Linked DNA regions of Mus musculus. The protein of the gene in region 2 interacts with the protein of the main gene of each other region in a pairwise test. Links are inferred from orthologs where the notes say so. Each region holds a gene or a part of one and is shown on either strand. Other genes may lie near its edges.

The links. The genes of interacting proteins can lie anywhere in the genome.
Region 1: the proteins of Rap1gds1 (region 2) and Nras interact in binary tests that used the Homo sapiens proteins (3 or more experiments, as listed by UniProt). The link is inferred for Mus musculus from reciprocal best matches to the Homo sapiens genes RAP1GDS1 and NRAS.

The regions. Positions count from the first base shown.
Region 1 is NC_000069.6:103,058,624-103,069,196, reverse strand, and holds the end of Nras (GTPase NRas), read right to left. Parts: exon of another isoform or gene 10,443-10,573; coding exon of another isoform or gene 10,367-10,442; intron 10,293-10,366; coding exon of another isoform or gene 10,276-10,292; coding exon 10,165-10,275; intron 8,997-10,164; coding exon 8,818-8,996; intron 6,824-8,817; coding exon 6,664-6,823; intron 5,868-6,663; coding exon 5,748-5,867; 3' UTR 5,744-5,747; intron 5,082-5,743; 3' UTR 5,040-5,081; intron 4,964-5,039; 3' UTR 1,283-4,963; downstream 1-1,282. UniProt on the Homo sapiens protein: Ras proteins bind GDP/GTP and possess intrinsic GTPase activity.
Region 2 is NC_000069.6:139,069,484-139,080,156, forward strand, and holds the start of Rap1gds1 (rap1 GTPase-GDP dissociation stimulator 1), read right to left. Parts: upstream 5,719-10,673; 5' UTR 5,557-5,718; coding exon 5,553-5,556; intron 1-5,552. UniProt on the Homo sapiens protein: Acts as a GEF (guanine nucleotide exchange factor) for the Rho family of small GTP-binding proteins (G proteins) that stimulates the dissociation of GDP to enable subsequent binding of GTP.

The sequences.
Region 1 (10,573 bases), about 36 Mb from region 2:
CTTGGCCGCTTTCCATGAATTTATGGGTATCAGGTAACTCATGCAACCACACTGGGCTTTGATGACCTTGAGTATTGCTTGTCATGAGAGGCGAACATACACAAGAGCTGCAGAGCTGAACCCTAGCAACCTCGTTTCTCCAGGTAGGCGTCGTGTCAGTCTAAAATATTTGGATCCTGAGTGGTTCTACTTACAAGTATTTTGTCACTTCAATTTGGTTTTCTCCTCTTGCCTCTACTTCCCCAATGCTAGGATTGTAAATGTGTGCCATCTCACCTGGCTCAACAGTCTTATTCATAAATGAGGACATGACAAATAATTTTGATTAATTCCCCAAAGCAAACCTTGACTTATATATTGGTCTCCATTTGTCCATGAGGTCAGGATCCATGCATCCTGTGTCTCCCCCTGGATGCGTACAATTGCAAGGAACAACACACAAACTTTAATCTGTTTGTACACTGTTTCTTCCTGGACAGACATACATGTGCATATATGATAAAAATCAATCTAAAAAGTAGGCACAGTAAGAGCTTAACAGCTCCCATAATGAACACAGTAAAATGAGTACAGTGCTCTCCCATGTTGAGCCTCTAGGTAAACTGTGCTACTGATACATCGATGAGCCAAAGAACCCCAGAACAGGTAACGAACAGTGTAGCTGTGTGGTTGGTACAAGGGAAGACTCAAGCTCTGGCAGGGTGACACAGGACCCTGACAAACTTCATTATGCTACTCAAAAGGAATGCTTCCTTCAACACAATGGATCCTAAGAAACAAAAACCACAAAAAGAGAATCCTTAGAGAGGCGGAGGAGGCCACTGACTATACTGAGAACAAATGAGGAGCTTGAGTCTCCCCTGCACTGCCCAAAAAGAACATCAATATCTGAAATATAATTTCCTAATACAGACCTTGGTGGGTTTGGTGGTTTGAATAGGAATGGCCCCCACAGATTCATGTGTTTGAATGCTTGGCCCACAGAGGTGTGGCCTTGTTGGAGGAAGTGTATCACTGTGGGGATAGACTCTAAGGTCTCCAAAAGGTGCTCCTTAGGTCTAGTGTGGCAGTCTTTTTATGCTGCTTTCACATCAAGATGTAGTACTCTCAGCTCCTTCTCCAGCACTATGTCTGCCTGCACGCTGCCATGTTTCCCACCGTGACCATAACTGACTAAACCTCTGACACTGTAAGCCAGCCCAACTAAATGTTTTCTTTATCAGAGTTGCTGTGGTCATGGTGTCTCTTAACAGCAGTAGAAACCCTATGGCAGTAGGGAAAATACAGTTAAGCAAAGAACTTCCAGTTTTTTATTTTTTTAAAATTATTTAACAAGGAAAACAGTCAAGCAAGTCTTTAAAAATTAGAAAGGATTAATTTACAATCAAACAGTCAACTTAAAATATCAGCCCCTTCATGAGGGTCACAGAGGCCAAGAGGTCTTTAAACAGCAGGATGCACAGTTGGCGTTCTGACCTATGTCTGACGGCACGCATGGAAATACGGAAGCCAAACAACTTCCACCCACCTTCCCGTAAGAGTCTAAACACTTGCTTAGAGCAATACTCAGATTTTAAAAACCAGTTGTATTTTAAAAAATATCTACAACTAATCTCATGAGAACACTCTTAAAACACAAATACCTTAAAATAATTTTGTGGCACATCAGTCAGCTTAAAGAAATAGCAAAATAAAAACTACTGTTCAAGAATTATCATCACTCTTTTAAATAGAAACCACCCAGTCAACACGTTTTCCATTAACTCCACTTCTCATATAGAGCTGAGCTAATTCCACCAGGTGGAACGCACACAGCTTCTGATCCTTGGTCGGAGCTGCCAGCTTGAGAGGTTATGACTAAATACAAAGGAAGATAAAACCAAGCTCACACGTTCTGTAAGGGGGAAAACAAACATTTGTCTTTACAGAGTTTTTGTCTATCTTCATATTCAAGTCATGACAAAGTTCACAGCAGTTTAAAGGCTGATTCTACAGGTGGCCAGCTAAAACAAACCCGCCTCCATTGTACACACTGCGGAACTAGTAAACTCGTACTGAGCTACCAACTCACACACGCTAAGTCCTGGACAAACGGCATTTACCAGGTTTACACAGATCCAGTATCAGCGCTCTTAGAACACTTTATTTTCATACTCTCCAATGTGTGAACAAAGCTTCAACTAACTGCCTTACAGCAACATGTTAATTTGTGACTGCCGGCCAGGCACTTAAACTCAGGAAGAGAGGCTCTGCAACTTTGAGGTAAAGCAGACCTTCACTAATTACTCTAAAAACACTTTGATACTATACCAACTGGACCTACTTGGCTTTTTTTTTTTTTTTTTTTTTTTTTTTTTGGCTTTTCGAGACAGGGTTTCTCTGTGTAGCACTGGCTGTCCTGGAACTCACTGTAGACCAGGATGGCCTAGAACTCAGAAATCCGCCTGCCTCTGCCTCCCAAGTGCTGGGATTAAAGGCGTGCGCCACCACGCCCGGCTCTTACTTGGCTTTTAAGTTTGTCACTGTTGTGCCAAAACCCACACCCCGTGGGAATATATGTTAGTAAGGGCATCTGAAACCTGAATTGGCTCCATTTGTTTCTGTGTTTATACTGGAAACCACCTACATACCTACATACATACGTACGTACATACGCGTGCACACACACACACACACACACACACACACACACACACACACACACACGGGATATGGTCAAACGGGTCAAGGTGAGTAACTTTCTCCTTAACTGGAGTTTAATTAATAAACTATTTAGGGATCCACCACCAGTCATATAGACATATTAAAACAAAACAAGACCAAGTGCTGGTCTCAGCAGCTTCAGGAAGATGACTGAGCCTTGTTGTAAAAGGCAGCAGTTTAGTTTGCCTAGGAATGCAAACCCCATGTGAATGATCCCAGTGTTAGCACTCAGGAGCATAGCAAATGTTTCTTCCCCCTTCTGATTAGTTTCAAGGTGATGGGGAATTTGCTTAATGAAAACTCATTAGGAACGAGCTCAGTCAGGTGTGTGTGGTGGAATGTGCCTGTAATCCCAGCACTTGGGAGATTGATCCAGGAAGAGTATTGTGAGTTTGAGGCCAGCTAGGACTACACAGCAAGATCCTGTTATAAACAAAAGAATCCCAAGGACCTCAGAATTTTAGGTATTACAAGATCAGAAGAGAAAATGGCCATTTTGGAATTAGGTTTGCTTTTTTCAATTAAGGTATCCAATTTATGTTTTCATTAGAATTACTGAGCTGAGTTACATCTTAGGTATCATGTGACAAACAAAACCCACTAATGAATTATCAGGGCAAACATCAAGCCTCCAAGTGACAACAATCAATGGCATTTTACATTCTTCTCTCGAGTAGCGAAGGATACCTCTTTATTTGAACAAACACATCAGCTTTTGTTAGTTGGCAGCCTAACTTATAGACATGTTTTAAATACTTTAAAAAAGCTATATAAAGAACATTAATCTAATTTTTTTGGGGGGGGAAGGAGATGGAGGTATGGACTCTGGCTTCAGTTTCCACGTGGCTAAGAATAAGGGTCTGAAAATGTAAAGATATCTAGGCTTACCCCAGAGCTCACCAGGTACTTCCAGTCCTGGTGAGAACCACACAAGCTTTATCCTTGTAGCACTAACAGCAGGCATCAGGCAAAAGTCTGTAAGCAGGAATAATAGGCAGGGAGCAAATATGGATGGACTGTTTCTCTGTGATGCTAACTGGCTTGTTCAAGTTTTGAAACCATGACCCGGTCCATTAGCACCATGGTTTAACCGAGATAACTGTTCAAGCCCCTCTAGGATGCTCGAACTTCTCTAGGCTGAGAGATGAGGGATGCTGAGAAGGGAACTGAGGGCCACGTTCTCTCCACATACAGATAGATATATATTCCATGAAGAAACTATGCAGCAAAGATATAACCTGTCTGCTAATAACTATATCTCAGCAAGGTCTGAGGAATCATTAATCACAGCTATAAAGTAACAACATGCCAATTTTTACAGTATCTATACTATAAATGGAGGGCTTCCTGGTATGAACCAATTCATTATAATGGAAGCTCATTAATTATTAGATTATCAGTAAGCTAGAAGATATTCCAAATATTTATAGGTGATAGTCTACCAAAAAAAAAAAAAAAAAAAAAAAAGATTAGCTAGAATTAAATGAAATTACTTGTAATTGTTTCAGTTCCATCTTTCTCCTGGGAGAATCCCAGACAGGGAAACTATCTTCATGTGCATACACAAAGCATCTGCCATCAGGTACATACACCTTTCCCTCAAAGGTAGATGGCTCAGAGTCACTTTCCTATACAATGGTTCTTGACACATCTATTCCAATTACAAACTGTAATGGAGCCTACAGAGCACTTTTAGGAAAAAGGCACTTTGTTGTGAATGTTGGATTTAATTGCATGCAGTTGAGAGTATTCGTGTTTGCATTTATGAATACAGAGCAGATGCCAGTTTATGGAATATAGCTGATCACATTACAAATCAATCAGCAACACTAATTATATTTTGGGAAGAAAGTAATTTATGACATTTTCCCCCCAAACCAACAAGGCCAAGTTCAACAGTTGGGGGCAGGGGAAAATCACCAGCAGTTGTTACCTTAGAGTATAAGAAACTGTTGTCAACAGAATGGCATGTCTAGTTTGGTTCTCTGCATCAATGTAAACTGCTTTTCAGAGGACAAAGCCAGCTGGAGGCTGTGTCTGTTTCTAGGGGAACCCAGGGCAGAGAACGACCGGGAGAGACAGGTCTATTTCTCTGGTCAGACAGCCGAGTGAGGAGGTAGTTATTCTGAAGAGGTCTCAGGTTAGATGGCTGTGCTCAGTAACTGAGTCGGGGAAGCAGGAAGCAGGAGCTTCTCTGAGATGCAGAGAGCAGCAGGAACAGGTCTCCTCCAGGGATGTCAGAACCAGGGCATCAGTGCAGCTGAAACAGAGACGGAGGTAAGAGAAACCAGGATAGGAAACTCAGTGTCAATCAAGACATTTCAAACTTGTCCTACCTTCAAAGTGGCTCTTTTCTGATGACAGAACTTTCAAAGTGTCTACAACAAAAGAACACAGTGTCATTTAGTGTCTATATTGTCAATCCTTAGTATGGCATCTTCAATGTGTCCACTCCACAATCATGGCACATATAGGTCTCAAATTCCTATACTAAAAATAGGAAGCTGTCTGTAGAATAAATGCTGAAAGAATTAATTAGATCTTAGCACTCCCTGAAAAGGTGCTATGAGGGAAATTATTTTATTTTTTTTAAAGATTTATTTATTTTATATATGTGAGTGCACTGTCACTCTCTTCAGACACACCAGAAGAGGGCATCAGATCCCATCACAGATGGTTGTAAGCCACCAAGTGGTTGCTGGGAATTGAACTCAGGACGTATGGAAGAGCAGTCAGTGCTCTTAACCGCTGAGCATCTCTCCAGCCCCAAATTATTTTACTTTTAATATTTGTTTGTGTGTGTGACATGTAGTGGCCTGTGGAGGTCATAAACAGTGGATCCCTTGGAGCTGGAGTCACAGTTGGCTACGAGATACCCAACATGGATGCTGGCATATGAATCAAATATATATTTGCATTTTCTAGTTGCAAATATATGAAAACTCTCATTTAAGTTGCAAAAGTCAGTAGTGCTGGCACTATTCTGAACTGCCTAATGCTAAGTAGAAGCTATGGTTCCAATGTAAGAGCACACACTCACCTTACTACATCAGCACACAGGGCAGCCCCATACAACCTTGAGTGCCATCGTCACTGCTGTTGAGCTTTTTCATTCGGTACTGGCGTATCTCCCTTACCAGTGTGTAAAAGGCATCCTCCACACCCTAGTAAAAGAAAAAAAAAAACACATACAAAAAAACTAACGAACAACAGGCACAGTTCAAGTTGTAACCTCTCATTTCCACCTCTCTGTGTGGATTTGATTCTAATCAATAGCTGATAAATTGGGGTGACTTAGGAAGAAGACACCAAATTCAGCATTCCTAGGGGATCACACTGGTAACTGGCATGTTTTATTTACAAAACAAACAACACAAAGATAGTCCAGCCAAGGAAGAAGGGCAAGGTGGGTGTACAGTACAGAACTACTGACTGTGAGGATCCCTCCAGGAAAGTTAAGTCCTCAATAGTGGCAAGTGCTGACAGAAAAAAGGATTCATGCTTAGAGAATGTTTAATCTTGGAAGAGTTGAGCCTGTTAAAGCAGAAATAGAATTCCCTGCCAGGGAGTGGTGGCGCATGCCTTTAATCCCAGCACTTGGGAGGCAGAGGCAGGAGGATTTCTAAATTCGATGGAGCCCAGCCTGGTCTACAAAGTGAGTTCCAGGACAGCCAGGGCTACACGAGAAATCCTGTCTCGAACAACAACAACAACAACAACAACAACAACAACAACAACAACAACAACAACGAAATCCCACAGTACAGTAGTGTTCTTTTTTTTGGGGGGGGGGTGATAGGGGAAGAGGGGAAAAGTTTAACAAGAAACAAAGACTAACTATACAGAAACCACTATCCAAAACCCATTATACATAACATAGATTACATCTCTACCACACTTGATCAATCAAACATCTCTGCTTTAAACACTTACTCACACTTGCTTGAATCTCTAGCATACCTGTCGGGTCTTGGCTGAGGTCTCAATGAATGGAATTCCGTAACTCTTGGCCAGTTCGTGGGCTTGCTTTGTGTCAACTGTCCTTGTTGGCAAGTCACACTTGTTGCCTACCAGCACCATGGGGACATCATCAGAATCTTTCACACGCTTAATTTGCTCCCTAGAACAAAGAGCAGGCAGCTGATCATAATAAGCAAAGCAAGCTTTCTGGAGGAGTACGCTGGCACACAAAAGGAAGTGGTAAATTTACAAAATCCTTCCAGCTACTATTACTCAGCTTACACACTCATACAACTCTAGACCTGCTAAGTCAAGAATGTCAATTTAGACTTGGTGTAGAAGCTGTATGAGGCTGTGAATACCAGTTCACTTCCAGCTCCAATATACTGATGCATGTCCTTGTTAGGCTCCTATATTTTCCAAGGAGCTTGGCTCTGGGTTTAATTGGAAACTACAAAAGGTTCTTTAGATTAAGCTTAAAAGTACAGAAAGTAGAGCTTATGGATTCTAAATAACTTAAGATACGTAACACTAAGAAAATTCTAGCCGGGTGTGGTGGTGCATGCCTTTAATCCCAGCACTCAGGAGGCAGAAGCAGGCAGATTTCTGAGTTTGAGGCTAGCCTGGCCTACAGAGTGAGTTCCAGGACAGCCAGGGCTTTACAGAGAAAACCTGTCTCAAAAAATTAAAAAAACAAAAAAACCAAAAAAAAAAACCTCCCTCAAGGCTGGAGAGATGGCTCAGGGATTAAGAACACTGTCTACTCTTTCAGGTGACCCAGGTTCAATTGCTAGTACCCACACAGGGCCCCAGACATCTATAACTCCAGTTCTAAGGCATCTGGAACCCTCCTCTGGCCTCCTTGAGCACCAGGCCCATGTGTGCATAGACATAGCAAAACAACGCGTACCCAGAAATAAAACTAAATCTTCTTAAAAAAGAATACCTCCCCCATAAAGTTGCCAAGAGTAAACAAATTCATACATATTCAGAACAGTGTCTGACCCATTGTGTATACTTTGTAAGTCTGCCAACACCTCGTGCGCCACTACGCCCGGCTGATGGAGGTATTCTTATAATAAATTCAGAAACACAGAGACACACAGATTTAGTATTTTGTCCTAAAGTTACTTAGCTAATTAATAACAGAGCCATGTTTTAACTTTGACAGTGACTAAAGATAGAATGCTGCTGTAAGAGAGAGAGACCCAGTGTTTTGGGGGTCTACCTCTGCTATATGGATGGGCAGTGGTGGTGCATGCCTTTAATCCCAGAACTGGGGAGGCAGAGGCAGAGGCAGGTGGAGCTCTGTGAGTTCAAGGCTAGCCTGATCAAAGAGTTCCAGGCCACACAAAGAAACCCTGTCTTTAAAACCAGACCAAACTTAAACAAACAAACAGAAAAATCACAACAACTCTGAAAATCTAACACCTCTGAACTCAGAATATTGGCTGGGAGTGTTGGCATATACCTATAAAGTTAGCACTTGGAAGGCTGAGGCCAAGTGCTAAATTCAAGGTAAGTCTGGGATACATAGCAACATCCTGTCTCAAAAATGTAAAATGAGTAAGAATGTTGTACTAAAATCCTTAGGGCCCAAATAGCTCTGAAACTCACCAGTTCTCTGAGAAGTCTTACTGTTACTCTGTAGCAGACCCCATTTCCCGAGTAGTACCGTGACAGTACACCACACACTCAGTGAAAATCAGATTCTTCTCTTTTTCTTTCTTTTGTTTTTTGAGACAGGGTTTCTCTGTGTAGCCCTGTCTGTCCTGGAACTCACTCTGTAAACCAGGCTGGCCTCGAACTTAGAAATCCGCCTGCCTTTGCCTCCTGAGTGCTGGGATTAAAGGTGTGCACCATCACTGCCTAGCAGATTCTTTTTAATATTTGGGGTTTAAAGATGGTCCATGGGCAAAGGCGCCTGCTAACTAAGCCAAGATGCCCAGGCCCTAAGGAGGGAGCTTTTATTAGCTGTCTTCTGCCTCCCATGGCACATATCTGCTGTTGCACTTGTTCTGGCCTCCACAAAACAAAACAAAACAAAACAATATCACCAAAATGTTAAAAAGTTGTATGTTTCCTAAGTCCATATACTTTAGTATAGTTTCAGAGCACATACAAATTTTTTGTTTCAGAAAATATCCCCAGTACCTGTAGAGGTTAATATCTGCAAATGATTTGCTATTATTGATGGCAAATACACAGAGGAACCCTTCGCCTGTCCTCATGTACTGGTCTCTCATGGCACTGTACTCCTCTTGTCCAGCTGTGTCCAGTATGTCCAGCAGGCAGGTCTCACCATCAATCACCACTTGCTTTCGGTAAGAATCCTGGGAATATGAAAGAGTGAGGAGGTGGTGGTGGGGGGGACAAGGACAGGCTCAATCTTTATTTAAAACCAGAGAAATGTAATTAACCAGGATGAATACGCCTACCTATGTGATTTACCCTCAACCCGCTAACAGTAGCATGAATAGCAAACAAACATACACATACATAATCACACGCATGCATGCACACATGACATAAGGGCAGGTGAATTTATATCTGTGAGTTCAAGTCTCAGGCCAGCCAGGGTAGTGCAGTGAGACCCTGTTTCAAAAAAAAACAAAACAAAAACAAAACCAGCCTGAGTTATGAGGTTAAGACAAAAACAAAAAACAAACAAACAATAACAACAACAACAACAAAAACAAAAAACCAAAGAAAACAAAACCACTAATAAAAAATAACAAAACCAGAAACATCTAGTATGGATTTATGGCCAAATTCTTATTTTTATTATATAATAGTCCAAACTTAGAAGACCTTATCTGTGGTTTTGGAAATGTGCTTATATTTTGTTTCATGAATATATTAAAATGTAACCTGTGTAGACATCTGAATTTAACTAACATTCCTGTGTGTTAGAACAGGTTTACACATGAAAAAAATATTTGGTTTTTGTAAACAGGGCCTCAGTAAGTAGTTCAGGCAAGCCTAGAAATTGAAACCTCCTCCCTCAGCCTCTTGAATGCTTACAAATTGGACTTATACATACCTGCACCATTAATCCCAGGGAAGTGATAGAAATTTAACGTCATATAGAAATATGAGACTTGTAAGGATTTAGGTGATTTTCCTCAATATCCGTAACTAAATTGTGAAGAAATTCCTAGATACAATGACTCAAAATCTCAACTTGTTTCTACCCCAACTCAATCTGGACTAGATCAAAAATGACAACTTCAGACTATCCAGAGCTCTGAGTTCTCTATCCTCACTGTATGATCGCCTACAATCTTTTTCCTTGTGACCTACGTTTCTATTAAAGAGCTGTGACATAAAGAAACAATGAAAACTGTGTTCTTTTAAAAGGAAATCCTCAGTAAGCACGAACTTGTTTACTGCTTTTTTGGAATACCTCCTTGCTTTCTCTTCTCTTTACTTTCAAAGAGCCGTTATGGGCAAGAGAAAGCCCAAAGTGAGGATAAGGGCCAGGCAGGGGCTGGGCCTCACCTCTATGGTGGGATCATATTCATCCACAAAGTGGTTCTGGATTAGCTGGATCGTCAAGGCGCTTTTCCCAACACCACCTGCTCCAACCACCACCAGTTTGTACTCAGTCATTTCACACCAGCAAAAACCTGTAGAAAAGCAGCAATTACGATTAAACTGGCAAACCAAACCTACAATACTTCAAGGGCTTCTATGAGTTTACCAAACTCTTCTGTTTCTAAGGCACCCATTCGATACACGTGGCCTTCCACTAAGTTCTCAAAGTGATTCAGAAACATAGCATTCCTTGCAGATGAGTGCGGGCCAGATTATTGGATTAAAGACCAGCGACTATTTTTTCAATCTACTCGGCCCCGCCCTCAGTTTACGGGAAAAGAACCCCCCTCTTCCAATTCCTGCAAACCCAAGC
Region 2 (10,673 bases):
GTAGGTATACCTGTTGAGGTTTCATCCGTTGCTATGTATTGTAAGGCTAAATACTGGCCCCCAAGGTCTGGTTGTCCCCAGGGATGCACACCAAGTGATGCTATGTAACCTTGCCTCCCAAGTGATCCCTGATTGGTCAATAAAACTAACCAGAGACTGTAGCTGGGCAGACGAGAGGTAGGCAAGGCTTCAGCTCCAGGGACTTGGGGTCAGAGGCACAGACCATGAAGAGAGCAGAGTAAGGTGAGATGAGGTAGACAGATCGTGAGAACACGGCAATGAGGACAGCCAGCTGGAGCAGGAGCAGCCCAGATGGAAGTCATATATCAGGGTTACTGACAGGGAAGTGGACAAGGCAGCGCAGAAGGCTGATAGCTGCCCAGCTCTAGTGCTTTTAAGGCCTATGATACCTATAAAGGTTTTGTGTCTTTTATTTGGGAACTAAATGATCTAAGGTAGAGCAGAAACCCCCAAAGAATATTTACTACAACACAGACTTTTCAAGCCAAAACTACAGTTGCAGCCTCTCTCTCACAAGCTCACTAAGAGCTGACTGAGTTATCAACTGGAGGTAGCTCATCTGAATGCCAACTGGGAACTATCAAGAACACAAGAAGTCTCTAAATGCCTCCTGTACGAGAGCTAGGCTCATTAGGAACAGAGGCGCACAGAACCCTGGGCTTAACACTCAGCGTATCCAAAACAAGAAGAATTATGTGCACCCGGCACTACCTACGTGGAAAAACTTCATTAGAGCTCTGCACTAACCGATGAATATCTATAATCAATGCTGATAATTCGGTGACTTGGAACCATAATTGTCATGTGACCCTTTGAAACAACCTGTACCACACAAACTGTCCAATCAATATTGGTTGTTTTGAATTCAACCAAAAGACTGCAATTGTTTGTTTTCATATATTTGTTCGTCATATATTTCTTTCTTTTTTTTTTTTTCCTGTTCAACAGTCTTGACTTTGCCTCCTGGCCTGAAAGTCTAAAATATTTACCATCTGGCCCTTTACAGAAAAAGCTTGCCAACGTCTGCTGCGTGGAGGTGTTATTCCCAATACCCGCTCTCACCTGAGACTCTCTCAACGATGCAAACCAACTCAATCAGAACTGGGAGCTGCCCAGTCATCGTGTTTTAAACAAACTCTCCAGATGATTCTTAGGCAAGCTAAACTTTGAAAATGACTACTTTAAAAATTAAGATTTTTGGAATGTTTTATCCTCTTGGAGGAACTATTTCTTTGAATCAGTAAAATAGGGAGTGTGTCACCCTATTAACTGTTAAGAAGATTAAATTTTAAGTTCTATAAAGTGCAACATGGTAACTGGCATCCACAGGGGGTAACTACTGCTTCAGTATGGTCTGAAGACTACTGGCCCAGGAGGCTTGTTCATTCATTTTTAGAAAATCTGAGACAGTTATTAAAACCATTATTAAAAATTAAATGATGGGCAGTTAGATAAGACACATTAAAATGGGTATTTATATTAAGCAAAGCACCACATTTTTCACTATAGTTTATTATTGTGTCCATGAAATTATTATTTCCATAAGGTGAGTACACAATATAATCACACTAGCAAACTGATAATCACTAAAATTAAATCTCAATTAATTATATATTCAGTTTAACTTTGAACTAAAATGAGTTTCAAATAATTTTTTATAGTGTTGTCTAATAATCTGGTAGATACAAAGTTGTAGCAAGTTTTTTTTGTTTGTTTGTTTTTGGTGTGTGTGTGTGTCCATCTGTCTGTCTGTCTGTCTGTCTGTCTATACAACAGGTATCTAGGTATCTAAAGTCATTCTGGAAAGAAAAGAGGGGTAAAAAACCACCAGAGGGACTGTGAACTTTACAAACACAGCTGGTCATAGCTTGCAGCCCACTTTATAGCCATCCCCTTTATCACTAGCCTCATCCCTGGCTTAATTCCAGGAATTCTTTAAGTAACAATCCTGTATAAATAAATGTACCAAGCAAATTCCATTCCTCTGCAGTCTGAATACAGTCCCTATCTCAGCCCTAGTATAGCTAGCAAACTGACCCAAACACTTAAGCTGCTTTGTTAAGAAAGAAACTGCCATTTGAAAACTAAAGAAAAACACCATGCAGAGACAGAACGAATATAAGCCATCTGAGATACTGGGCACATTTCAAACCTGAATTTCAAATATCGTAAAATTTATAATCAAAACAGACTTTGGTTTAGATGATTTTGCTCTCTCTAAAACTAATGTTAAACCAGAATCTCCAATAGAAGATACCACAGGGGTTTAAAAACAAACAAACTATACTATGCTACAACATAGACATAAGAGAAGGGAATGTCGAAGAAGTGTGAGGGACTACTGTGAAATTACCATTATGGTCAGGTAAGAGAACAGCAACCTTCTGCCCCATGAATACATTTAATGGTTGACTCCCTCAACAAGTGCAAACTTCAGCCCAGCATTTCAGACCTACCACTATTTGGTGACTGGTAATACGTTTTCACTTCTGTCTCCCAACGTTTCTGTATTTTTCTCTAGCTAAACAAGGCCTTTTATAAACTTTTCTAGAAACATCTCTAACCTTCCCTATCTATTTTCATCTTACCCCATACCCCTCTTTCCAGCATTCTCATTTCTACTGTTTAGAAACCTAACTAACCTTTGGTTCACATAACATTTCTCTAAAACCTCTGCATCCCCAACAGCTTCCTAATATATGCAAAGATACTTTGTATCATTTGCAGATTTCCTCATGTTGAATAAAGACTTTAATGTTGCTGTTTGAGACAGGATAACTTTTCTTTTTAATCCAGCCAGGCAACCCAGGATGGCTTCAAACCCACCAGTCCTCTTGATCCTCCTGCCTCAGCCTTTCTTCCATTGTGGTGAGAATACAGGTGTGTGCCTTTACTCCTGCGACTCACACACTCATTTTTAGTATAGTTATTTGTGGCTCATATGGTTCTGGAGAGTATAGGAAACCGTAAGTGTGTTTGTATCACTCATTCTTGCCTCCCCACCGTACACTCCATAGGATGGAGTTTTGATCAATATTGGGTTGCAATAACATATACACTTATAGTAATTAAAGTCACAGCTGGGATCTGTGAGGTTATATAGAAAATATTCTTCATTTTCTTATGGAGAAAAGCTATTGCCATAAAAATACCCTTTAAGGGTTCCAGCTGGGACTCAAATATGCACAAGGCTCTGGGGTTTGCTACCCAAGACAACAAAAACAAAGCAGACTACCTAAAATAAATAAAATGCACCTTATTGATTTCTTTAAAAGACAGTTAAAAAATAATCCCTTCCCCCACCATTAATTAGTATATCTTAGGAGTTGTCTTAACTTCTGTGGCTCAGATATAAAATTATCTTCCAAGGTTTTAATGTTTTATTATTGTATATACCTCTCGATCATACAAAGACATCTTAATCACTGCAAACAGCATTATAGAAGGAAACTATATACCTAAGGTTGCCTTCAAAACCCACACCCTGCAATAATGTAACCAGTGTTTAGTGAAAGGCCTTACAGCAAGACATTTTCTATACTTCCATGTCTACCAATTCACGCCAACGTTTAGGGCCTACGTTTCAAGTTCAAGAGCAGAAAGTACATGCCAGTGTAAAGAATAATTTGGCCAAATTTTATTGAACACCTACTATGTGAAAACTCTCACAAAAGACACAAAACTTAAGACATAAAATGTCATCTTCTTGAACATAAAGTTAAATGCTCAAAACAACTAGATATGCAAATAACTCCATTAGACATTATGTGGGTGCTATTTAAACAAAACAACAAAACTTCTAACAAGGTACCCCAAGTGCTAACAGGAGGGAACATAAACAAGAGTTTCTGAGAAGCTTCAAAATAAAGTGGGTTTGTATTTGACTCTCCCCCCCCCCTTTTAAATCACCCATCAGCATTCAAGATTTGCAAGATTATTAAGTAACTTAATCTGTTTTAGGTATTTTTATTCCCTAATTTGCAACAACAGACCTTGGATATCCACCCCCACTGGGGGAAAAATACCGATTCAACATTTTGAACGTTTAGTTAAAATGAGCTTTAACTAAATCTCACCTTTAAAAAACTGAGACTTGTTTCTACACCAAACCTGTAAGTGTAATTAAAAACTTTCCAACACGCAGATTTTAATCTGTAATCTGGATTAGTATTCTTTTAAAATTCTATAAAGGGACGAACAAATGGGATACCGATTTTTTTTTTTTTTTTTATAGAAATGTTCCGACTGTCAGTGATACTCACTTGGAAGACAAACAAGTGAAAATAAAATTCAGGGGCATGGGTGTTTTGTTCTGCTTTGTTTCATTAAAACCACCTCCTTCTCCCCCAACGGTCCTCTTCCTACTAAATGACAAAGATCTGACTCAAAGCTAAGAGTATTTGGTCTTCCGGGAAAGGCTACCACATCATTTCTAGGATTCTGATACTTCCTGGAGGGTTCTGTATTGCCATGATCTAACTCTAAGCATTGAGCACTGTGTTGACAGATGAAAGGACCACACTCATAAATAACTTGCCCAGAAGGAGTGGGCAAAGTCCGTGTGGAGGGACGCCGAAGAAGCCAGTTTTTAAAAGGGGAAATTACGATAGACGCAAATTATGGAATAGAAGCAAACTGGGGAACGTGTACTGGACAGATGATCTAAGTTGTTACTATCAAAGGAAACTTTTCGCCCTTAATTACAGAAGAGATTTGTATCCGGTGCTTTTGTAATTATGCACAGGTAGGCAATATCTGAGGAGAATCTCACGTTCAAACATAAACAGTTTTATAAAACATTTGCATTGAAGTATCCATTCTTTTAGGATTAACTATAAGTACAATGGAACTAGAATCAGATTATACAGATTTAGGCAGGGGCAGCTGGGGCAGAACAGGCAGCATGTAAATTCCTTAACAATGTGTTACAGGGCACAGTTTCCAGCTACAGGAGAAATCCAGAAAACCGCTTGAGGACCGGAACTGTGCACGCCGTAGTCTCCCAACACTAATTCAACAGCTAGCGGCTCCCGCCAGCCTCGCGCTGCCCACGGCGGCGGCGGGCGAGTCGCCACCTCCACCTTGGAGACTGTCCGCTCGGCACTCGGCTGGCCATCGCCCTCCCAAACTACTTGCCGGCTCTCCCCGCACCGGCGCCGGCCGTCGGCAGGCCGGGGAGGGAGCGATCGCGCCCACGGGAAGGAAGTTCCGCCAAGTGGTCGGGCTCGCCGTGGGACCGAGCCTGCAGCACCGCGGCCTCCCAGCCCCGGGGACGCCCCGCGCGGCCCGGTGCCGGCAGGAAGCGTGGAGGAGGGGAGGCGAGCGCGGAGCCCGCCGCCGACCCCACCCCGTGCGCGACCCCGCCGGCCCGGCCGCCCTCGTGCGCCCGCCTTCCCCCTGGGAGGGCCGCCGCCCCGCACCTCGCGGACCCGGGGACCCCGGCAAGTTTGCAGGAGAGATGCACTGCCACCCTGCAGCACGCCGAGGGGGAGAAAAGAAAATGTCAGGCGATGACGGCCGGCAGGACTCACCCATGTTCCTCCCACAGAGTGAGGACCGGCAGGGCGAGGCGAAGGGTTCGGGTGCGGGCGGCGCGGCTCAGCGGCGGCGGCGTCCTCCCTCTACCTCCGCGTCTCCCGCAGCCAGGGAGGGACCCGCGGGGGGCGGCCGCCGGGGAGGAGCAGCGGCTGCGGCTGCGGGCGGCGCGGCCGCGGCGGGGACGAGCGGCGGGGGGCGGGGCGGGGCGGGGCGGGGCGGCCGGGCGCAGCCTGCGGCGGGCGCGGCTGCGAGCGAGCGAGCGAGCGAACGTGCGGGCGGGCGGGCGGGCGGGCTGGCGCGGAGGCGCCGAGCCGTCCTGAGGAGCGCCCTCCCGACGCGCGGCCGAGCGCCCCGCCCTCTCCGCCGAGCGCCCCGCCCTCTCCGCCGAGCATGCTCAGTGCGGCCAGTGCTGCCTCCTGCCCACGGCCGGCGAGGCTTAGCCCGCCGGGGGCTGTGCGTCTACAGACCGGAGCGGTACAGCTCGGTGGCTGTTGCTCGAGGGGCGGAAGCAGGGCTCAGATCTCCGGGCTGCTGGGACGGAGCCTCCCGGGAGGAAGTCTCAGCCCGGAGCGTGCCTGGCAGCGCACGCCCCAGGCGAGCATGTGCGGGGTGGCGGAGCAGGAGGACGTAGATGTCCGCGGGCGCGTCCCCAGGGCGCATCAGGCTGTCCTGCGGGGCTGGCGGGAAAGCCGGTCCAGCGGAGAGCGGTCGCAAGGTCACCCTCGGCGAGCCAGTGCCTAAAGCCCTTTAACCCGTCGGGCGGGACCCTACAGGCTGTGTCCGCCGCACTCCGGCTGTGCCAGGGAGGAAAGACGTGCTGAGATCAGAAACACTGAAAGTCCACCTACGGGCGGGGGTAACTCGGTGGATGACGAGCCGCCCGGGGACTGTGACCGAAATGCTCCCACATGCTCTCGCGGGGCTCGGGGTCCCAGACTGGGCTCTGCACCAAGAAGAGGCAGTAGGATTTCTCTGTGTAGCCCTGGCAGTCCTGGAACTCACTTTGTAGACCAGCTGGCCTGGAACTCAGAAATCCGCCTGTGAAAAACCAAAAAAATAAATAATAATAATAACGTAAAATAAAAGAAGGAGGGGGAGAAGGAAGAAGAAGAGACAGTAGGAGACCTGCACGTGTCCTGACCCCTGCCTGCCTGGACTTTATCCCAGGCCTGTGGCGATCTGTAGGAAGAGGAGCTGCAACTCTTGCTGCCAGAAGGGGCTGTTTCTTCATCTGTGACTCTCACAGACCAGTCGCTAATATTACAGGCACAGATCACAAGAGCATCTCGATATGTTAGGTACTGGGATTTTATGTGATTTTTTCTGAAATAAAAATGCAACATAATTAAAGACAGGTGTGATCTATTTACAGCAGCTCAGGCATAGACTGATACAGATGTTAAACACCCGTTCTTGGAAGAAAACTACTCTTCCTGTTTGCCTATAATTCATCTTGCAGAAGGCTGTTAGGATTGTTGTAATAATCTCTATACACAGGGTTCAAACAAAATTACTGAGCATCTGGGGCCCAGAAGACAAACCAGGGCAGGACCACACATCTTCTGAGGGTACCTCTTCCTTGCCTTGTAGCAATATGACTCTAGCTTTCACATATTTTCCCTACGTGCTTATGTGTCCAGTTTTCCCTTATTTATAAGGACACTGGTCATGAAGATCGGGAAGGCCACTCCCAATCTTGACTCTGGTGTCTGCAATGACCTGATTTCTGAACAAGGTCACATTCCGATGTCTTAGGGATTTCTGCTCGATGGCTGGGCACAGTTCAGTCAGTAAGACCACCCCCCCCCCCAAGTCTACAAACATGCACGTGCCTTGTTCTGCTTCTTTTTCCCAAATGTTTGCAAAAGACCATGCTAGGTCTTTCTATTGCTTCACATGGTTGATCTCTCTCTCTCTCTTTCCTTAATTTTCACAAATGTCTTCTACATTCTCTGTTTCAAGTTGCTTTAAGTTTCCTGTTACTTCCTTTGCTAATTACATATCACAATAATTTCAGGGTATGTCTAGCTTTCATTTGCATGTATGCATTGAAATTGGAAAGGCAGCTGGGTTTTTGTCCTCCCACCTGGCATTAGTTTAAGCATCATTTGTGCTCCTCTTGCATCCACAAGCCACCCCTTCGACTTTCTCACCAATTAAAGGCACAGTGCAGGGCAATCATGATGATCATGTTGAACTCCAATACATTGACATAACTATAGTGAGACTCTTTTGGACTATACCTAGAAGTGGCTCATTTAAGGAATGATGTAATGCCTCTTGGGTTGTTTTGTTTTGTTTTGTTTTGTTTTGTTTTTGAAGTGTGGTCTTGCTATATATAGTCCTGGCTGGCCTACTCACTGTGTAGCCCAAATGATCTCACAAACATATCAGTTCTCCTGTGGCCTCTCCAATGATAGGATTAAGGAATGTGCCAACATACACAATTCTTTCTTCTCCTTTTATAGGAATATAATGATTTTTAAAATATTTTTGTCTAAAACAGTTATTCTCAACCTATGGGTCATGGCCCTTGGTGGGGGGAGGGGGGGTTGTCAAATGACCCTGTAACAGGGGTCACCTAAGACCATCAGAAAACACAGGTATTTAATTTATGATTTGTAACAGTAATAAAATTATGAAGTAGCAACAAAATTATTTTATGATTAGGGGGTCACCATGAGGGCCTATATACAACATGAGGAACTGTTTTAATGGGTGGCAGCATTAGGAAGGCTGAGAACCTCTGAGTTCAAAGTTACCTGTGTGAGGAGCCCTTCTATACCATTTCATCCAGACTCTGTACACCCACTTTATATCCACACCTCTGTACTTTATGTCTCTTCAATATTATCACTAGAATGGCGTGTATTTTGCCCTTTAGCGATCACGTTTAAGCATCCATCCTGAAAGACGGTAATTTTTGCCTTTCCTTTTTGGCTGTTAGATCACCAGTGCTGAGAACAGAGCTAACAGAGCAAATGTTTAGTGGAAGTTACTGCATAATTAAAAGTCTTTCGGTTGTCTCTATGATTTTTTCCTAAAAGAGAGCAAGAATGATGTTAAGAACACTGGCTGCTCTTGCAGAGGACATGGCTCCCATTCCCAGCATCCTCATGGAGGTGCATCATCACCTGTAACTCTTGTTCCGGGTGATCTACTGCCCTCTTCTGGCCTCCATGGGCACCATGCATTCACGTGGTACACAGAAATACTCTGTAGCAAAGCATCCATATATGTTAAAGAAGAAGAATGGTGTTGAGATTTTTCCTAAAAAGAATAAAAGACATTTTAAAAATAAAGAAATAAACTTGACACCTCACAGTGAGAACAATTATTTGTAGAGAGACTATCTTGTGTATTGTATGGATGCTTCACCTGTCAATTCAAAAACCTAAGGCCAATAGGAAAGGGTAGAATAGAAGGTGGAACATCTGGGAGGAAGAAAGAATTCTGGGATAGAGCCAAGCATGGGAGATTCACCCAGGAAGATGGGACAAGATGGACACATGGTACCTGAGCCCAGTCCCCTGGCAGAATGTAGAATAAAATAAATGGGATAATTTAAGTTATGATCTAGCTATATGGCCAATGCGTTTGTAAATATATTTTGAGTCTGAGTTTTATCTCTGGGAGCATGGGACTGAGAGGAAATACCAGGCCTAAACTTCTCCAGTTATTCAATAACTAAATAGAACAACCAGTCTATATTATTTTATTTTAAGAAAAAGTTTCTCTACTGGCTTGAGTGTCGGACTGTGTTCGCTCTTTGTGTTCCTAGATGTCCCTGCTTTCAAACAAGGTAAACGACAAGAACAATTGCTTACAATACTCGTCATGAACACAAACAACGACCAGGAAGATGTTTCTTAAGTCAAGAGGTCCTCTCAGAAGTCAGTTCGATCCCCCCACTGCAAGATAGGCAGTGGCAAGATTTGAGTAGGCCTATTAGAAAGCGAAGAGGAGGTTTGTAATGTACAACTTAGAGGTTTACGGATTCCTCCATGAAGTGTGTGTGTCCATACCTAACCTGTTCATTTGGATAACAAGTTCTTTTGGAAATTGACATGGCTTGAGAAATGGTTTTTATTTGAGAGGAAGAGCAGTGAGGAAAATATCTGTGAGAAAGATAAAACTTCACTAAGTAATGCCTTTTGGAAGGCGATTAAAATCCCTTAAAGGAGACATACTGGGAGGGACCTGCACAGAGGATAGACGGGAAGAGAGAGGATGTCTTTCTTCCAATCGTAGGGAGCCAATTGCCTCTTCCCCACGATGCTTGGGATATTGTTTGAAGGGATCTCACTGGAGGAATCAACTGAACTTAACCACAATAAAAATGAATGATCTCACAGGGATGCGTTCTACCTCAACCATTTCTGTTTCAAAGTCCCCATTAGGGAAATTAGGCTCCTCCGGATTGAACTACTGGACTGTTTGAACCTTATTTTAGGCCCTGTTCATTGTTCCCTATACTGTTTACTTGAGCATTAACAATTTTCTAAGTCCTGTGGAAGCTAAAGTTTCCTTTCATATTCTGTCAACTCAAACTAATGTGTATAGATTTCAAAAAAAAAAAATTATGGACCTGCATTGTGAGACCTGAGGTGAGAAAGACTTAAGAAGTCTACCTGGCTGAGTGAGCGTCCCCTATGAGCTCAGTGCTAACGTAACGTGTCTGTTACTTTCTCATCCCTGTGCTGAGCTACCTGACAACAGCAGCTTAGAGGGGATAGGGGTTTTTGTTTTGCCTTATAGTTTAGGAAGATACAGTCTGTCGTAGCATTGAAGGCATGTCGGCAGGCGCGGAGGCAGCTAGGGATTTGCTTCTGCAGTTAGGAGGCACAGTGATAGATGGCCGGTACTGGGGGGACTTTTCTTCAGTCCAGGCCCCCAGGCCATGGAATAGTGCTACTCACAATTAGGCTGGGTCTTCCCACCTCAGTTAATCTAGAAACTCTTCTTGCAGGACCAGAGGTTTGTTTCCATGGTGATTCAAAAACCCATCAAGATAACAATGCAAGAATCACAGACTCAAATAACTGTAGGTGCGTGTTATGCAAAGTGAGGGTAAGACCAGTCTATTTTAGAAGTCTCTTCCTGTTCAAAAATCT